Sus scrofa: one gene and its partners. The protein of the gene in region 2 purifies or fractionates together with the protein of the main gene of each other region. This does not show direct contact. Links are inferred from orthologs where the notes say so. Each region holds a gene or a part of one and is shown on either strand. Other genes may lie near its edges. The genes, in order: NCOA6, KMT2C, PAGR1, PAXIP1 and lysine-specific demethylase 6A-like.

What was found.
Region 1: the proteins of KMT2C (region 2) and NCOA6 purify together in Homo sapiens (co-immunoprecipitation; 7 studies listed by BioGRID and IntAct, with this or other methods). This does not show direct contact. The link is inferred for Sus scrofa from reciprocal best matches to the Homo sapiens genes KMT2C and NCOA6.
Region 3: the proteins of KMT2C (region 2) and PAGR1 purify together in Homo sapiens (affinity purification with mass spectrometry; 3 studies listed by BioGRID and IntAct, with this or other methods). This does not show direct contact. The link is inferred for Sus scrofa from reciprocal best matches to the Homo sapiens genes KMT2C and PAGR1.
Region 4: the proteins of KMT2C (region 2) and PAXIP1 purify together in Homo sapiens (affinity purification with mass spectrometry; 4 studies listed by BioGRID and IntAct, with this or other methods). This does not show direct contact. The link is inferred for Sus scrofa from reciprocal best matches to the Homo sapiens genes KMT2C and PAXIP1.
Region 5: the proteins of KMT2C (region 2) and lysine-specific demethylase 6A-like purify together in Homo sapiens (affinity purification with mass spectrometry; 3 studies listed by BioGRID and IntAct, with this or other methods). This does not show direct contact. The link is inferred for Sus scrofa from reciprocal best matches to the Homo sapiens genes KMT2C and KDM6A.

Annotation. Positions count from the first base shown.
Region 1 is NC_010459.5:38,131,391-38,134,903, reverse strand, and holds part of NCOA6 (nuclear receptor coactivator 6), read left to right. Parts: coding exon 1-2,888; intron 2,889-3,513. UniProt on the Homo sapiens protein: Nuclear receptor coactivator that directly binds nuclear receptors and stimulates the transcriptional activities in a hormone-dependent fashion. Coactivates expression in an agonist- and AF2-dependent manner.
Region 2 is NC_010460.4:5,265,788-5,269,300, reverse strand, and holds part of KMT2C (histone-lysine N-methyltransferase 2C), read right to left. Parts: intron 3,087-3,513; coding exon 2,947-3,086; intron 2,534-2,946; coding exon 2,426-2,533; intron 1,231-2,425; coding exon 111-1,230; intron 1-110. UniProt on the Homo sapiens protein: Histone methyltransferase that catalyzes methyl group transfer from S-adenosyl-L-methionine to the epsilon-amino group of 'Lys-4' of histone H3 (H3K4).
Region 3 is NC_010445.4:18,051,319-18,055,478, reverse strand, and holds the start of PAGR1 (PAXIP1-associated glutamate-rich protein 1), read right to left. Parts: upstream 2,801-4,160; 5' UTR 2,325-2,800; coding exon 1,843-2,324; intron 1,681-1,842; coding exon 1,598-1,680; intron 1-1,597. UniProt on the Homo sapiens protein: Its association with the histone methyltransferase MLL2/MLL3 complex is suggesting a role in epigenetic transcriptional activation. However, in association with PAXIP1/PTIP is proposed to function at least in part independently of the MLL2/MLL3 complex.
Region 4 is NC_010460.4:3,101,353-3,104,865, forward strand, and holds part of PAXIP1 (PAX-interacting protein 1), read left to right. Parts: intron 1-218; coding exon 219-289; intron 290-1,447; coding exon 1,448-1,550; intron 1,551-2,076; coding exon 2,077-2,245; intron 2,246-2,389; coding exon of another isoform or gene 2,390-2,433; exon of another isoform or gene 2,434-3,161; intron 3,162-3,513.
Region 5 is NC_010462.3:9,085,166-9,089,275, reverse strand, and holds the start of lysine-specific demethylase 6A-like, read left to right. Parts: upstream 1-1,305; 5' UTR 1,306-1,654; coding exon 1,655-1,806; intron 1,807-1,998; coding exon 1,999-2,062; intron 2,063-4,110. UniProt on the Homo sapiens protein: Histone demethylase that specifically demethylates 'Lys-27' of histone H3, thereby playing a central role in histone code. Demethylates trimethylated and dimethylated but not monomethylated H3 'Lys-27'.

The DNA of each region.
Region 1 (3,513 bases), on a different chromosome or scaffold from region 2:
ACAGCAGCCACCACCTCCCAGTCAGCCACAGTCTCAGCAGCAGCAGCAGCAGCAGCAGCAGCAGCAGCAGCAGCAGCAGCAGCAACAAATGATGATGATGCTCATGATGCAACAGGACCCCAAATCAGTTAGACTTCCAGTCTCCCAGAATGTCCATCCCCCAAGGGGTCCCCTGAACCCAGACTCCCAGAGAATGCCCATGCAACAGAGTGGCAGTGTGCCTGTCATGGTCAGTTTGCAAGGACCTGCCTCCGTGCCACCATCACCTGATAAACAAAGAATGCCAATGCCTGTGAATACTGCTTTGGGAAATAGTTCAAGGAAAATGGTATACCAGGAGAACCCCCAGAATCCTTCCAGTTCACCGCTAGGTGAGATGTCCTCGCTCCCTGAGGCAAGTGGCAGTGAAGTACCATCGGTCTCAGGAGGCCCAAACAGCATGCCTTCACATTTAGTAGTCTCCCAGAATCAGTTAATGATGACAGGGCCAAAACCTGGACCATCACCCCTTTCAGCAACTCAAGGTGCAACTCCCCAGCAACCTCCTGTAAATTCCCTGCCCAGCTCTCATGGCCACCACTTTCCAAATGTGGCTGCTCCAACCCAAACATCTAGGCCTAAAACACCAAACAGAGCCAGCCCCAGACCCTATTATCCTCAGACTCCCAACAACCGCCCTCCCAGCACAGAACCTTCAGAAATCAGTCTATCACCAGAAAGACTCAATGCCTCCATAGCAGGACTCTTTCCCCCACAGATTAATATTCCTTTACCTCCCAGGCCAAATTTAAACAGGGGGTTTGATCAACAAGGACTAAATCCAACAACTCTGAAGGCCATAGGGCAAGCACCTTCAAATCTTTCCATGAATAATCCTTCCAATTTTGCTGCCCCACAGACTCACAAATTAGATTCTGTGGTGGTAAATTCTGGAAAGCAGTCTAATTCTGGAGCAACAAAACGGGCAAGTCCAAGCAACAGCCGCAGGTCTAGTCCTGGGTCAAGTAGGAAAACCACCCCAAGTCCTGGGAGACAAAATTCAAAAGCTCCTAAACTTACTCTGGCCTCGCAAACAAACACAGCCTTGTTGCAAAATGTGGAGTTGCCAAGAAATGTATTGGTCAGTCCCACTCCTTTGCCCAATCCTCCTGTACCTGGGAGCTTCCCTAACAACAGTGGACTGAATCCTCAGAATCCTACTATGCCTGTTGCTGCAGTAGGGGGTGTTCTCGAGGATAACAAGGAAAGCTTGAATGTGCCTCAGGACAGCGATTGCCAGAACTCCCAGGGTAGGAAGGAACAGGTAAATGTTGAGTTAAAAGCAGTCCCAGCCCAAGAAGTTAAAATGGTTGTTCCTGAAGATCAATCCAAAAAGGATGGGCAACCTTCGGATCCTAACAAACTGCCCAGTGTCGAAGAGAACAAAACTTTGGTGTCTCCTGCTATGAGGGAAGCACCAACATCATTAAGTCAACTTCTTGACAACTCTGGAGCTCCTAATGTGACCATAAAACCCCCCGGGCTTACAGATCTGGAAGTAACACCCCCAGTAGTTTCTGGAGAGGACCTGAAAAAAGCATCCGTCATTCCCACACTGCAGGATCCGTCTTCTTCTAAAGAACCCACTGGTTCCCTAAATTTACCTCACAGTAACGAGCCGTGTTCAACCCTTGTGCATCCAGAATTGAGTGAGGTCAGTTCTAATGTTGCACCAAGCATCCCTCAAGTAATGTCAAGACCTGTCAGTTCTTCCTCCATTTCCACTCCTTTGCCCCCAAATCAAATAACTGTTTTTGTAACTTCCAACCCCATCACGACTTCAGCGAACACATCAGCGGCTCTGCCAACTCACCTGCAATCTGCATTAATGTCAACGGTCGTCACAATGCCCAATGTGGGTAGCAAGGTTATGGTTTCTGAGGGACAGTCAGCTGCTCAGTCAAATGCCCGGCCTCAGTTCATTACACCTGTCTTTATCAATTCGTCCTCAATAATTCAGGTTATGAAAGGATCACAGCCAAGCACAATTCCTGCAGCCCCACTGACAACCAACTCTGGCTTGATGCCTCCCTCTGTTGCAGTCGTTGGCCCTCTACACATACCTCAGAATATTAAATTTTCTTCTGCTCCTGTACTGCCTAATGCACCCTCCAGTAGTCCTGCTCCAAACATACAGACAGGTCGACCCTTGGTCCTTAACTCACGAGCCACGCCTGTTCAGCTTCCGTCCCCACCTTGTACAGCTTCTCCAGTTGTCCCTCCTCATGCCCCTGTCCAACAAGTGAAAGAATTGAATCCAGATGAGACTAGTCCTCAGGTGAGCACCTCAGCAGATCAGAGCACTCTGCCCTCTTCACAGTCAACCACAGTGGTTTCTCCCCTTTTGACTAATAGTCCAGGCTCCTCTGTCAACCGACGAAGCCCAGTCTCATCTAGTAAGGGCAAAGGAAAAGTGGACAAAATCGGCCAGATTTTGCTGACGAAAGCTTGTAAAAAAGTTACAGGTTCTCTTGAGAAAGGGGAAGAACAATATGGTGCAGATGGAGAGACTGAAAGCCAAGGGCTAGAGACTGCAGCTCCAGGGCTCATGGGAACAGAGCAGTTATCCACAGAGCTGGACAGTAAAACCCCAACTCCCCCAGCACCCACTCTCCTAAAAGTGACCTCTAGCCCTGTGGGCCCGGGCTCCGCCTCAGCAGGACCCAGCTTACCTGGCAGTACTCTCCCCACCAATGTACGCTCAATAGTAACCACTCTGGTACCCTCTGAGCTCATCTCTGCGGCGCCGACCACAAAAAGCAATCATGTTGGCATAACATCTGAGCCACTTGCAGGTGGCCTAGTGGAGGAGAAGGTGGGATCTCATCCAGAGCTTCTGTCCAGCATAGGTATGTACTCGGGGCATGGCATCATCTCATGTGAATTTTTAGATGACCTATCCCACAAGAGAAAGCATGACTTCTTTTCTACTTGGAGGAAGAAGAATGGGCTAAATGGCAATAGTGATAGTTCCATTTATTTGAAATACATTGGGAAAATATTCTTTTAAAATCCTCTGTTAAGTTTACATTCATTAACATGGTTCTCAGCTCTTGAAATAATGAAACACCTTTCATTTATATAAAATATTTCATTTTACAAAGAAGTATCAACTATGTCAGGTATCCCTAACGCCATTCTACGGGTGAAAAGATTGAAGCTCAAGGGTTCAGTTTTCATTCAAAATCTATCCTGTGAGTCTCCAATTTAACATTGTTAAATTGGGTGAACAGCAGCTTCTGTGGATTCTCCTCACCAAAGTGCTTTCAGCTATTTCAAAACAGTTATCTCACAGCTTCTTCATTGTATTCTGTCAGGGTCTGTTCTCTTCTGACTTGCCTCTCCATAGGAGAGCTTTCCAAAAAACCAGGTTTCACCATAATAGACATGAGAGGACCAAAGTGGTTGAGAGATAGGCTTAGGTTGGTATCACAGTGCCAGCATTTACCAGCTGTATGGCCTTAGGCAAGTTAC
Region 2 (3,513 bases):
GCTATAAAGGATGAGAACTAGGAGAAGGCACCCAGGGGGACGGACGGCAAACGCTCAGGCACCCCACCCTGGAGTGACCAGCCCTGCCCAGCGTCCAAGCGGGGCCTCACCTTTCGGCGACGTGTCGCTCAGGACAAGGTCTTCGTGGCCGTGCTCCACGATCCTGATCACGAACACGGGGCGCCCGTCCTTCTCCTCGATGGAGCACAGGTAGCGGCAGCGCCGGTTGGCGTAGCGCGTGCTCCAGTAGAGCCGGCTGGCCTCGTAGCCCACGGGGAAGAGCGCCTTGGCCGAGTGGAAGGCCTGCATCTGCTGCGGGAGCAGCTGGCCGATGGTGTGGAAGATGAGGCTGCCCACCCGGAAGGTGTGGTCGCGCTCCCCCCGCTGCACGATGCTGGCGATCTGCCGCACCTCGTCGCGCTGCACGTAGACCCTCCTGAAGACGGCGAAGGAGCTCAGCTCCTGCTCGTGGACCCCCTTTGGCTTATGCATGGGGCACAGCGTGGTTTTGTCTCGGAAGAACATGCACTGAGCTTTCACGGCGCAGGTGAAGTGGTAACTGTTGGTGCATCGAAATCGGTGGCACCCGCTGGTGGCCCCCATCTTGTGGCAGAAGACACACTTCATCTGCAGGCCGCGCCTGAGGGCGAGCTCGACGTTGATTAAGGCGCCAGCCTGGGTCTCGTAGACCTCGGTGGACCACAGCGCGCAGTTCAGGTGCACCCACAGGTCCAAGTCGAGGTTGAGCAGCCGGGCCGGCCCGTCTGTCAGGCCGTCGCCTTCTTCGTGGCAGAAGCAGCACTTCCGATAGTCTCTGGGCACAGGATCGGGCTTCAGGGACGTGCCCAGTTTCTTCAGAAACTCATCGATCTCCTCCTCGCAGGGGGGTCGGAACGCCCCCTTGGGGACCACGATGTGGACGCTCCACTTCTTCCACTTCATGCCCCGCCACTTCTTAGCGCTCGGCCGGCAGTCCTCCAAGCCGCCGTGGACGGTCCTCAGCCGAGGCTTTAACTTGACGGTGACTTTCAGCTCATCGGGCTTTGCCTCGACCTGGGCGGCTTCAAAAGCAGGAGGGAACGTGATGGGAGGCGACGCGGGGGGCGAAGCTGCCTCCTGGAACTGCGGCAGGCAACGCACATCCAAAGTGGAGATGTTGGTGCTGTACTGATGGAAAGCTCTGGAAGGTGGCTCTCTGACCGGTGACTGTGGCAACGAAGCCATGCAGTCCTGAGCAATAAAGAGAAGCACAAAAACGAGGCATTCAAGAGCCCGAACAGCAACCGGCACTAGAACAAGGCAAAATGAGCAACAGGGTTCTGACCGTCTTCGGCTGGGGCTCTGAACCTGAGTGGCGAGGACTTTTGGGCAGCACGAGTCGGTGCTCAATGTCCAGTATTTACAGATCAACAGGGACAGCGTATTTTGCTTAAACTTCCATGGACACTCACTTGCAAACCATAATAAAGCCAGAAAAATCAGTACTGCCAGTGCCTGCTGAATTTACACGACACAACTTCAGCTCACTCTCTCTTACACGCTCACCCCACCCTCCGAAATTCCCGTTTGTTAATCTTAGGCTTAGTTAGTTGGCAGACGCGTGAGGGAGGGGAAGACGTCCCCTGCCAGCAAACGGGGCACAGTGAACTTTCCTCAGAGGCGGGGGGTTGGGATCCAGCTGCTGAAAGGGCTGAGCTGAGAGAGAAGCTCCATTAGTTTCTCTTTGGACTCAAAGTGTCACAAACAAGTCAAAGAGCAAACCCACAGCCTCTCCTCATACACCCCTTCCTATGTGGTTCTGAAAAAAGATAAGCCTCACATAAAGTCCAGAAGCAGCCAGGCATTGCATACCCCTTCAAAAATTATTTGGCGAAAAAACAAAACCAAAAACAATTCCTTCTCTCATCTAGGCAGATATAGTTTAACGTCTAAACTTACTGCATGTGGGAAAACCACCCTTCACGTCGTCCGCGTCCCCTTCACACCCAGACGCACCCAGAGAACCACGCAAAAGCAAGCAGGCCTTTCCCACCGCAGCATGAGAAAGGCACTTCCCCCCCAGAATACATGAAGAGCTTCCAAATGCGTCTGTGAACAGGTTTTGCCATTGGGATAAAAATCAATGCAGCAATCTTTCACAGCTGTAATTAAATTATTTGTAATTAAATAAGATTTCGGATTTTAGTATTAGGGTTTTACTCAATTCTGAACTTTTAAGATATAATTCAGATCTACCCGCTCTTGCCAAAGAAGCTAAACTTATTTAACCGGCAACAACAACCGGGACCAATTGCTCTTTCTCAGCTCGGCTACCAAGCAGGTGAGTGGCACCTGCTCCCACTCCCCGGGAGAGCTCTGCGTGGGGCCGGGGCACATTCCCAGACACGCAAGCTCCTCCGCACAGACGGAGACGGTCGAGTTTTACCTTGCTCTCCGAGTTTTTTGCTTGGGCAGCTGATGAATAGAGAACAAAGCAGTTGTTACTGCAGAAGACAATGTCCTTTTCCACCCTACTGGAGCTTTCTCGGAAATCCTGAAAGGCAACGAGAAACGTGGGGGGAGCTCAACAAGTCAAAAGTTAATAAAAACAAGATCTTTACAGAGTTGGTTTTTATGTTCTGCTCCAAGTGAAAAGTAGCCACCTTAGAAGTACACAGATAACTGCGAGCTGATATTTAGCATGTAATGATTTCGCCACAAAGACACACTTACAGAAATAAACTTTACTTTCCATATTTCACTGAACTTAAAAACACGCCGTTCTAACAGCGTCCACCTTAACAGCCAGCTGCGGTAATCTGGTTTTAAGCTTAAGCACAAGGAACATAAGTAGAGGCTCCTTCCCGCAACGGATGTCCCGTGGGTGCAGGAGCAGGGCCCTGCCCAGGCGGCCGGCAGGGGCGGGGACGCCCACACCCACACTCACCCACACCCACACTCACATACCTTGTTCACAAAGGCCAGGTCTCTGACCGACTTCCTCACGCCGCTGCCCAGAATAACCACTTTGCAGTGGCAGCACCACTGTGGTCTGAGGGCCGCACTTTCTGCAATGCCATGACTAGCATCCTTGTATCCAGAAAGACCTAGAGGCAAAAGACTTCTGTCAGCGGCTAAACCTGACCGGTCGCACAGATGGTACATGATGACCAGCTATATACCGTATCAATCTACTGTAACGTGGTTCATTTAACTTACCGTGTATTAGTCTCTGTTAAGTAATAAAAGCCTAATCTGAGCAATGGCTACGGGGCGCCTCTTGCGTGCACGACCCTGGGGTACAAGCAGAGGAGCCCAGCTCACACGGCTGAACGACAACTGGGCCGCGAGACGTGTGGGGGGAACCGGGTCACCCGCTGGGCCGTGTTCAGCCTCCGTGCGAGTGGCCGGGAGGGAGACCACGTATGCTCGAGGGCGAAGACGACACGAAAGGTCTCGTGGGAGGTGAGGAGGGCGTGCATGGGCTCTTCAGTGGGTGTGATTCGGAAACTCAAAGAGGGAGCGCGGCAGGCC
Region 3 (4,160 bases), on a different chromosome or scaffold from region 2:
TCCCTCTCCAGTGAACCAAGTCACTGCAATCAGATTCTTAATCCACTGCACCAAGCAGGAACTCCTCCTTCGGAGAATTTAAAACAGAATTGGGAGTTCCTGTCGTGGCACAGCAGCAACAAATCCTACTAGGAACCATGAGGTTGCAGGTTCGATCCCTGGCCTTGCTCAGTGGGTTAAGGATCCAGTGTTGCCGTGAGCTGTGGTGTAGGTCGCAGATGTGGCCGGATCACGTGTTGCTGTGGTGTAGGCCAGGGGCTGCAGCTCCAATTGGACCGCTAGCCTGGAAACCTCCATTTGCCACACTTGAGGCCCTAAAAATAAAATAATAATAATTTAAAAAAATTTAAAACAGATTTGAGCTGACTTATGTTTTGAAAGAGAGACGGCTTGGATCAGGGTGTCACATTAAAGACAGAGACTAGTAGCTGAATTTGGAAATGTGGAGGCAGACCTAACAAGACTTGCTGCTGGTTTGAATGTTGACATAAAAGAAAGAGAAATCGGGAGTTCCCGTCGTGGCGCAGTGGTTAACAAATCCGACTAGGAACCATGAGGTTGCGGGTTCAATCCCTGCCCTTGCTCAGCGGGTTAACGATCCGGCGTTGCCGTGAGCTGTGGTGTAGGTTGCAGGCGCGGCTCGGATCCCGCGTTGCTGTGGCTCTGGCATAGGCTGGCGGCTACAGCTCCCATTAGACCCCTAGCCTGGGACCCTCCATATGCCGCGGGAGCGGCCCAAGAAATAACAACAATAACAACAACAACAACAACAAAAAAAGACAAAAGACAAAAAAAAAAAAAAAAAAAGAAAGAAAGAGAAATCAAGAATGGCTCTGAGAGGAGTTCCCGTCTTGGCTCAGAGGTTAACGAACCTGACTAGTATCCATGAGGATTCGGGTTCGATCCCTGGCCCCACTCAGTGGGCTAAGGATCCGGTGTTGCCATGAGCCGTGGTGTAGGTCCCAGATGTGGCTTAGATCTCATGTTGCTGTGGCTGTGGTGTAGGCCAGCAGCTATAGCTCTGATTTGACCCCTAGCCTGGGAACCTCCATATGCCGCAGATGCAGCCCTAAACACACACACACACAAGAGAGAGAGAGAGAATGGCTCTGACGGTAAACTCTAGGCATGGGAAGCTAGGTCAGATTAGGAGGTGTACGCAGTAGCATAGGGATGTGGAGCTAGATAATGACCAAGAAGACTCGGACTTCTGGGATGGGGGTGGGGGGGAAATGAGACCAAAGGAATGGGAAATATGATAGAATTACCTGTGATAATCTTTTAAAAGAAAATTGGGTACCACCTAGACTGGAAGGATGGCAACCACTGAGTGCACGCTCTCCCCTGAAGCTGTGATTTGTGTAGCTACCAAGGAACCAAGCAGAGACCTTTTTTTTTTTTTTTTTTTTGACCACACCCATGGAATGTGGAAGTTCCCAGGCCAAGGTTCGAACCTGTGCCAAAGCAGTGACAATGCTGGGTCCTTTGCCACTAAGCCATCAGAGAACGCCTCAAAGACCTCTTTCAGGGAGTCCCTTTCGGAGTAAGTGGGAACAGAGGCCCCCCCGCGCCCCCCATTCTCCACTCTTGTCTGTACCTGGGGTGCGCCTCCGGTCAATCAGGGAGTCCTTTGGTGTCATTGGCTCATCATCAAAATCAAATTCTGTGGGCATGTGCGGCCTGGGACAGGTGGAGAGAGAGAGGAGGGTGAGGGAGATCCTTCCAAACCTCCACTGGTGCTTCTCCCGGGCCTTCGGGCTCTTCCCCTCCCTCTAACTTCCCATGCTCCTGGGTCCCACCTCCCTCCCTATTTCCTCCTGGCATCAAGGAAGCAATCCTCACTTTTCCTCTTCCTCCTCTTTGGCCTCGGGTTCCTCATCAGATCTTTCCTCTTCACTCTGGGCCTCAGGCGTAGGTGGTCGGCGGGGCAGGATCTCTGCCTGAAGCTCCAGGGTACCGTGGGCAGCCAGCAGTTCATAGAGCCGTTGGATTTCGGAGGGAGGTGGCATCCAGGGCTGCCCATCCTCAGGCAGCTCCACCTCTTCATCGCTGCAGGGCACGCACCAGTCCTCGGAGTCTCCCTGGGCGGGCTCTTCCCCCTCAGTGCTGGGGGCTTCTCCCTGCACTTCCTCGGCCCTGGACCCCTCATGTTCGGCCTCCTCCCGGCCTCCTTCCCCCTCTTCCTCGGCTTTATCGGCCGAAGCAGAGGGGCCTCCGGTGTCCTCCACGGCCAGAGCCTGGAGGCCGGAGGTCACTTCCCCTTCTTCAGACAGAGGCGCCGCCGCGGTGGCTGCCGTGTCTCCATGACCCCGGACAAGGGACATAAGCCACTAGGGAAGGGGCCCAGCGATGCCAGGAGATGCAGGAGTACCAAGCCGGGGATTCCCCCCGCGCCCCCTCCCTCCCTCCACTCCCTCCCAAAAAAAGGGATCACCCCGGGGTTCGGGGACTGTTTCGCTAACCAATCAGGCTCCAACAGCGGTCTCGCGACCAGACCACCGGTTCCCAGGAGGGGGCGCTCAGTCCCCTCCAAGGACCCCGCCCCCCACAGATCGAGATCCGGTACTCCGAGGTTTCCAGCGAGCGGCAGAAACCACTTTCCGGGCCGGAGACGGGCGGACCCGCTCTTCTCGCCTCCGCACTACGCCGCTCTACACCTGGATGCGGCGTCCTCTCCCCACACCTCGAAGGTCCCCCACCTCAGCGGCCGTACGCACCTGGAGCTAAGACCCGCCTCCCGGGCCGCGCAGGGTCAAAGTACGCAGGCGCACAGATACGGCGCGGGAGGCTCCGCTTTAGTCAAAGCTACTTGGGAGAGGAAAGCAAGGGGAGGCTTGCACATGCGCAGGTAGGCGCTCGGGAACGATAGGCTTCGGCCCACAGTAAAGATGGCCACGGGGGTGGCGCATGCGCAAATCACCTAGTAGGTTGTGCCCCAAAGGAGGCTGTACCTCCGGCCCCGCGGCGCAGGCACGTAAGGACCAACTGAGGCTGGAGGCGAGTATCATGCAGTCTCCGTTTATTGGTGTTTCAGACTCATGCAGCATCCGGCATACAAAAAGGGAGAATCAGTTTGATGTATCCTTTTTTTTTTTTTTTTTAAAGACTTTTAGGTTTTTTCCCTACGCTTTTTTTTATATTAAAAAAAACACAAAAAAACCAAAACCAAACCAACTCCGAACCGCGTTGTGGCTCAGACCCTGCCTCCCCAGTGAACTGTCGCGTGCAACAAACCTCTCTCGTCCTCTTAGAAAATAATCGCAGCTCTCTCCGCCCCTTCTTTGCTCCCTGCAGCTGGGAGCTTTGGTCCAATTTTTTCTGTTCTTACAGTTACAAAGCACGTGAATGACTCCAGCCGCGACGCCTTTAACAAACCGACTGGGTTAAAAAGCCCAGGCGGGGCAGGTCAGCTCGGGCCGACCGGGGAGGGTTCGAGAGCCTCGCCCCTCCCTTCTACCAGGTGCTTGTTCGGAACAGTACCCGCCACCCCTGCACAAATCTACAAACGAGGCCCGGCTTGCCAGCTCTGCGACCCCGAGGCACCCCGGGGGTGTCTGGGCCTGGGTAGTCCCTGCAGAGAACAGTCGCGAGCCCGGGCTAGGGAGCCCTCTCCAGACACCGCTCCCCTCCCCCAGCCTGATCTAAGTGCTGGAGTTTTTGCAGAATAAACGGTGGAGGAGGGTGGAGGAGAGGATGCAGAGGGGAGATGAGGAGGCAGGAAGAGGAAGGGGGTGGAGGGTGTGGAGAGGGAAGAGGAGATGAATGAGGAAGGGAAGGAAGAGAGGAGGGGGGGGAGGGGGGGATGCTGAGACAATAAAAAGTTGGGAAATGGAGATCCGGGATGAGGTGCAGGGGACTCGGGAGGGTGTAGTGCAGGAAGGCCGCAAGAGATGCAGGAAGGCTGAGAGCAAAGAGAGTCTGGGAGATGGTCAGGGAGGTTTCCAGAAGTGCAAGGAGGTTTCCAGAAGTGCAGGGAGGTTTCCAGAAGTGCAGGGGTAGGGAAGCCAAGAGGCTGAAGGGGAGGCAGGCAAAAGTGCAGGGAGGTTGGACACAGAGCAGGGAACAGGGAGGCCTACGGTTGGCAGAGGAGCCTGGCAGGATGCAGGAGCAGGAAAGAAGCTGTAAACAAGGCTGCTCAGGCTCCATTGGTCCCTATGGGT
Region 4 (3,513 bases), about 2.2 Mb from region 2:
GAGGGAGGGAGACAGTTTACAGAACCGTGGGGTCAGGTGAATACAGAGCAGGGCCGGAACGTCACCTTGGCGGGCGTCTGGCCAGAGTCCGCCTGGCTTCCCAGGCGGTGCCCGTTCTGAGGTGCTGCCTGTGTGGGGCGCTTGGGGGGCGTGTGTAAACCTGTTCGAAGCTGCTGGATGCCTTGGGAGGTGGAGTGACGCGATGCCTTTCATTGCAGGGTGTCAGACTACCTCCCAAGCCGAAGCAGAACGAAGTAACGAATATCCAGCCTTCTTCCAAAAGAGCCAGGTAGGAAGAATCCCTTCCCTTTGTGTGGTTGGTGGTCTTTTACAGGTTTCAGGAAATGGGGCAAGTGGGAAAGCTTCTGAAACTTTCATGTCAAACAGGATGTGCTGATTGTACCTCAGCTTGATTATGACAAGGCTTTTGTTGCTGGAGGATGGGAAAGCCACTGGCTTTCCTTTTTTCTCTTTGTGGCTGCACCTGCCAGGGATCAGCCTGCACCACAGGAGGACTCCGTGTTTTTCTTTCTGTAACCAAAACTGTACCAGAACCTTCAGTGTGTAAACCATGAGCTGCTGTTGAGAGGACGGGACAGGATGGGGAACTAGCACCCAGGTGTCCTCCAGAGCTCCGGGGAGGCTCTCCTGACCCCTGACCCCGAGGGGGTGGGCGTGGTGTGCAGACCTGACCAGCCTCACCTCTGAGACGAGCTCACGGCTCGTTAGAGGAGACCCCCCTGTTCCCAGGGTGTGCACGCGGGGCGGTCACCTCCCACTCCGCATGCCCACACTGCCTAGAGTTAGTGGACTTATGAAAGCCTAGTTATATGATTGTATGTTTTTATGACTGTCGTTAAAATGCCACAAATTACCTTTTAAAAAATTGAATAGATTGTTCCAAATATAAGCTAAAAACAAAATTTGGAAAAAATTAGCGAAATGTAAAAGACTGAGAAATTTAACTTGCAATGTGTGCTTGAGTCCAGCAGCTTCGTTCTGGTGCCTCCCGGGGTGGGCGGGGCGGGGCAGGTGGAAAGCGCAGGGCTGGAGCCGAGCCGAGCCTCCTGGTGCAGGAGGAGAGGGACGGCGGGCACCAGGCTCAGTGTTGGGGAGAAGGCAGGGGACGGGGACGAAGTGGAAAGGCAGTGGCTGCCGCCCCTGGGCCACCTCTGTGTCAGTGGTGGAAAGAAGAGGAAACTCACTGCCTTCTCCCTGTGAGGAAAGGAAAGCACACACCTGAAGCCATCAAACGCCCTCATTTGCTAAGGAGCCGTTTTTCAGCTCCACCCCTGTGGTGAGTGGAAGTTCCCAGGGCCACAGATCACATCTGAGCCAGGGCTGCAACCTGGGCTAGCAAATGCCAAATCCTTAACCCACTGCACCACAACAGGCACGCCAAAGAGCTTTAAGTAAGTAATAAAATCACCCTCATGTGTCTTTATAGAATTGAAGATGTACCACCTCCCACCAAGAAGCTAACACCGGAATTGACCCCCTTCGTGCTTTTCACTGGATTTGAGCCTCTTCAAGTTCAACAGTATACTAAGGTAAAATTCTGTTCTATTTTGCATAAGGATTTTTAGGGATGTTCCCTTCTGTTTGTTCTGCCAGCACTTTTACTAAACTAACCTTTAATGAGGAATTGCTTACAGTATTTTTTTCCATCCTTGAGGCATGCAAAAGTTCCCAGGCCAGGGATCAAAACCGCACCACCGCAGTGCCAAGTCCTTAACCTCTAGGCCACCAGGGAGCTCCTAGAGAACTGTCTTAATGAGCCTCATTAGCACTCATTTCCACTTAGAAAGTCTGGGCATATTTGCTTGTCATCATGCGATGCGTGCCTTGGTCTCGGGACATTTTACTTGTTCTGGGGGGGTGGGGGCGGTGTCTCCTTGGGGTCCGGTAGGGCTCCTGTTCGCATCTCGATTTGTATGGCCTTGATTCCAAACACAGACATTGTAAGATCGGGTTCTTGGTCCAGTTGCCCCGTGTGTGCGGGCTGAGCTCTGTAGACAGTCAGGCTGTGCTCGGTACGCCGAGCTCTCACCTCTGACCTGTGGTCCCGGCCTCCAGAAGCTCTACATCCTTGGAGGGGAGGTCGCCGAGTCTGCGCAGAAGTGCACCCACCTCATCGCCAGCAAGGTGACGCGCACGGTCAAGTTCCTGACGGCCATCTCCGTGGTGAAGCACATCGTGACCCCCGAGTGGCTGGAGGAGTGTTTCAAGTGTCAGAAGTTCATTGGTGAGCTTACCGTTGGCACTCGCAGACGTGCTCCCGTCCACTGAGTCCTGGGCCCTGCGCCTTGTCCCCAGCGCTGGCTGTCGAGTGAGGTCGCACCCGCGGTCCGGCAGGCTGGCTGAGCGTTGGGTGGGGTCCTTTTGGCAGGGACGTCGCAAGAAAGCTGCGGGGACTCATTTGGAAAAACCTGAGTGCTTTTAGCGCCTTTTTGCTGCAAAGTGCAGCATGACTCTGACCCCATGGGACTTCCTTCCCTGTGGAGGCGTCGTGCCCGAGCAGCAGCGATGCCGTCCTTGAAGCCACCCAGCCTGTAACCCTCGCCCCCACTTGTCTGGCTGGAGCTCCACTGCCCTTTCCATCGTTTGTTGCTTTCGGTCTCCGTGTCCCATCCGGAGGGCACGGGCACCTGCTTCCTTGGTCCCGCGTTGCGTGGCCGGAGTACCGACGTCCCGCCTCTGCTAATCAAGGCAGACGCACACGCGTGTCTCTGGCCGCAGTCTGCCCTGGGGCGCTGTGGTCTTCTCCCCCGTTCTCACCTCTGCCCCTCACTGCCCGCCGCCCCGGACCAGAATGATTCCACCGCCAAAGGATAAGGCAAGACGCGTGGTCAGGGACCCAAGAGGCCATCAGGGACACTCCTGGTCCCCATGGGCACCACATCCTTCTGACTCACTCACCTGACCTTCCTGGTTCCTTAGGGGGCAAGTCCTGGTTAGGTCAGTAGTGAAACATTTCATAGCATGTCCTTTCCTTGGCCACTGGTAGTTAAACATAATTCAGCCTTGAGGGTTAATAAGTTCACGGCAAGTTTTATAGATGAGAAATTAAGGTTCAGAAAAGTAAAGACACTACTTACAGCAAAGCTATAACCAAACTTGAAATTACATGATTCTGTATCTAAGCTAGTAAAACCTAAGAATAAATCATTAACATGAAAATATTAAAGTCAATAATATGAAAAAAATAAAATAAAATCTGTAGCTGCAGCAGTACAGTTGACTCCTGTTCCATGAAGGGCTCGTGGTGAAACTGTCACCTGGTCACTGGCCCTGGCAGCAGAAACTAACTGGGTATGCGTTTCAGATAAATGGTAGCAGGTGGGCATGAATACGAAACCCACGGATAATGAGGACCAGCCGTATTACGGTCTTTAGAAAAGTCCTTGTCAATTGAGATTTTAGAAATTACTGTGTTCTTAAAAGATATTAATGAAATATAAAACCTAACAGTGCAGCAGGCAGAAGAAAAATGTAGAAACAGTTACTATAAAC
Region 5 (4,110 bases), on a different chromosome or scaffold from region 2:
TCATAAACTGTCCTCCTCTTTATGTAAATCAAAGTTTAAATACATTTTGTCTGTTTTAGATCAAGGGAAATTTTCCCAAAACTAAGTATTTCAGGCAACTATTTTTAAAAAATAAGCATTTTCCTAATCTTACAAGTATTTTTTAAGATACTTATTAAAAGTTAGCATTTTTCAGGAGCTCCCGTCCGTGGCTCAGCTAAAAGGAATCCAACTGGGAACCATGAGGTTGCGGTCCGATCCTGGGGCTTGCTCAGGTTAAGGATTTGGCCATGTGGTGAGCTGTGGTATAGGTCATAGACCCAGCTTGGATCTGGCACTGCTGTGTCTGGGGCACAGGCCCAGCAGCAACAGCTCAGATGCGAACTCCACCCTGGGAGTGGGGTTGGGTGTGACCTTAAAAAGCAAAAAAAAAAAAGAAAGGGATTTTCCCAATTAATAACAACTGGAGGTACAGCGCAGATGATATTGCATAAAGTATCACACAAGAGTTGCCCGTTTTAAGAAAAGTAATTTACAGAGGCCTAATTTTCCCCACAATTGTATTATTTACAACCTGACAAAAGCAAAATAAGAAAGTATTGTTACGTTTTGTTTTCTAAGGCTTACAGCATCTCCAGTTAGGGTCTTAAATATTTCTTCGCAGCTTGGATCACCCGCCCATTTTGGGATCAGTGCGGGAGGCACCAACAACGTTTGGAGTTCTAGCTGGTCAGCCAGACTCCCCGAAAGGCTGCTGGGATCTGGTGGGTGGGCTGTGGTCTCAAGGTTCTTACCTCTCCCTTTACGACCCGGGATAGGAAACCCGGCAGGAAGAGTTAGTTAGGGCCGCGTGGTTATTATTTTCCAAAGGTGCCAAAAGTCTTGTCTTCCAGGATCGGAGGTTCAAGTGTTACACTTGTTATGATCCAGGTGGTGAGAGTTTCCATAATATTACAACGCCTGTGTCAGTGCCGCAGCTGAAAAAGAGCTATGAGTCCTCCATCTGTGCTGTCGTCTGCCGCAGTATCTTCTAGGTTTCAATCTTCTCCATCATTCCCTTCCTCAGCTTGTTATTAACGAGGCCGAGACACTCCATTTTTTACAACGATGTAGAACAGTTTGCTGTACATGTTGCACACCCTTTTCCAAATCAGCGAGTCCGCTAACCAATTTACCCACGAAAGTTTGCGCCCCTTCCGGTTCCTGTACGGGTCGGCGGTGACTTCGTGGGAGTGATTGGGTATCTAGCAAGTTCGGTTGAGCCGCAAGTGACGTGAGTCAACAAAGGTCACGTGAGGCAAGCCCTTCGCATCAATTGGCGGCGCCGGGTTTAGGGGGTGGGGGCGTCACGGTTACTCGGGGTTTGCCCGGTGACACGATTGCAACTTTGTGCGGGTGCTGGCGAAGTTTGTAAGTCTAAGATAGTCTTCCATTACAGCGGGCTTCCGCGTTTTCTGCTGTCATCGCATACTCCATGATGTGACCTCGGCAGCCGAGTTGCGCAGCGTGGGTATTCGCTGTTTTTGCTATCAGCTTGGGCTTTTTCATCACCGCCACCTGCGTTGCTTGCTATAAAGTTGGTTTGCCTGTGTGTAGCGCCAAGACCTTCTTTTCGCGTCCTGGACTGGGGTTTGGTACATTTCGGCCTTGAGAATTTTACATTTGTTGCGTTTCAATGAAATCCTGCGGAGTGTCGCTCGCTGCCGCTGCAGCTGTTTTCGGTGATGAGGAAAAGAAAATGGCGGCGGGAAAAGCCAGCGGCGAGACGAAGGAGAGTTCCCTCAGCTTGACAACCGAAGAGAAGGAGGCGCTTAGCGGAATGGACAGGTACGGACCGCTGTTACTCTCCCACGTGGCTACCGACCGGCTGCAACCGCTCATCGGGGTAACTTGAGCTCGAGTTACCTCTGGTGGCGGCGTCGTCCAAGTGGTTGCTGCCACCCGTGCCTCGGGATGGGGAAGGGACCGGTCAGTGGCTTTACTTACGCGTTAATAAGTTGTCTGTATTTTCTCCCATAGCCGCCTCTTTGGGTTCGTGAGCCTGCATGAAGATGGCGCCAGGACTAAAACTCTGTTGGGCAAGGTAAGGCAGTCTCGGGGGCCAACGCAGTCCCCCGCTTGTGCCCTGTTGTCTTTGCCACCTGCAGCCACTGAGGCGCGTTGTGGCAGAAAACGAAAAATTATTTTGCTCTCTTCTCACCTGGATACCTCGCTTACTGCCTGGCAAAATTCTGTATTGTTGCTTGAGCAGCAGAGACGTCGGGGTTTTCGGGCAACGCCTAACGGTTATTTTGGAGCATTTTCTTTAGGAAATGATTCCTGAATTTCAGTATCACAGAGTCGTGAACGTGTGCAGATTGAAATTTTTCAAATTCCCATGCGCTGTTCTTTTTTTTTTTGTTGTTTTCTTTTTTTCCCCTTTGACGGTCGGCTTGAGAGATCTGCTTTTAAGTGATCGTTTTAAACTTTAATTACTCATGTTCTCAGAAGGGATAGTTTGTATATCCTTTGCAACCGTGAAGAGTTTGAATTGGGTATTGAACCAGTATACTGATTGGTGTGTTTTCGAACCGGGTAAACTGTTTGTTTGGGTTTAGCTGCTTAGATTTATTGCTGACAATGCCAATAATCCCCCGCCCCCCCCCCGCCCCCAGCACCTTGTTTTTGGTGTCTGACATAGACGGGCGAGTTTTCTCGGTTTATCTGTGTAAAAAGTTATCGGCACTGTCACTTAGTTAATGGCTGCCCCATCGGCCAAGATGGCGGGAAATAGTGGGTGGGGAAATGACGACGTGAGTTTTGAAGGAGGGAAGAGATATAAACAAGGAAACGCTAGCGGTAAGCGTGCTTTTGCATTGGTTACTGTGTCTTGATGGTGCATAATAAAAATTTAGCACTGATATTTAAAAGTAGAATTCTTAGATTACCAAGCTTTACAACAGCATTCGTGAACCTAAAATGTGCTTTGCAACCTGGGATCTATTTAGTCGTAGTAAACGATTGCACAAATACCATGTAATCTCAGTTGCACAAATACCATGTAATTTCAATCTTCTGAGCAAAATCTAGTTAAAATATATTTTTCTTTCATTTCATTCCATGGAAGGGGGTCATATTTCCATTAGATATTTACTTTTCTAACCGAGACTGGTAGCTGTGAATTTGTCTTACCTTTTGCTCCATTTCAGAAGGACGTATTAAGTATGTATGCTTTTTTTGTTTTGGTTGCACCCACAGGCATATAAAAGTTCCCTGGATCCTTTAACTCATTTTTGCCAGGCAGGGGATGGAACATGCACCTCCACAGCAATCTGAAGTGCTGCAGTGTTATTTTTATTGCACTGACTATAGGTAGAACGCTAATAAATTTTATTTTTAAGTTATTTTTGACAGTTTCTGTTGTAGTTCAGCAGTAATAAGCCCAGCTAGTGTTCATGAGGCTGAAGGTTCAATCCCTGACCTTACTTGGTAGATTAAATATCGGGTGTTGCGGTGAGCTGTGATGTAGGTCCATGGCTGCAGGTCTGATTTCCACCTCTAGCCTGAGAACTATGCTGCAGGTGTGGCCTAAAAAAATTTTTTTTTCTTGTCGAGAATTCTGAGCTGTACTTGAATTTATGTAATCTTAAATTTTTTTTTAACCTGTAATCTCACTTTTATCTTTGTTTTTAAGGCAGAAAATGACCATGAGATAGTGTAATAATTTGTCATCCAATCCATTTAATAAAACTCGAATTAAGCTTTGGTCATGTAGGTAATTATTACTCCGTTAACCTTATCACTGGGAGAGTAAACAGTGACTTTCTCTGATAGTATTTAAGCAGCAGTGAAGTGAGCCAGAGCAATGATAATGCCGGACCCTTAACTGCTAGGCCACCAGGTATTGCCTATTTTTTTTTTTCTTAATTTTTATTAAAAAACTCAGTATTTAAATATTTTATCGAAGTTCCCATCGTGGCTCAGCTAGTTAAGAACACAAACAGTATCCATGAGGTTGTGGGTTCAATTCCTGGCCTCTCTCAGTGGCTAAGAATTAAGGATCCAACATTACCCTGAGCTATTGGCCATAGGGCCAGATGGACTTTGGTTCTTGCCTTTTTGTGGCTGTGGTGTAGGCTGGTAGCTGCAGGT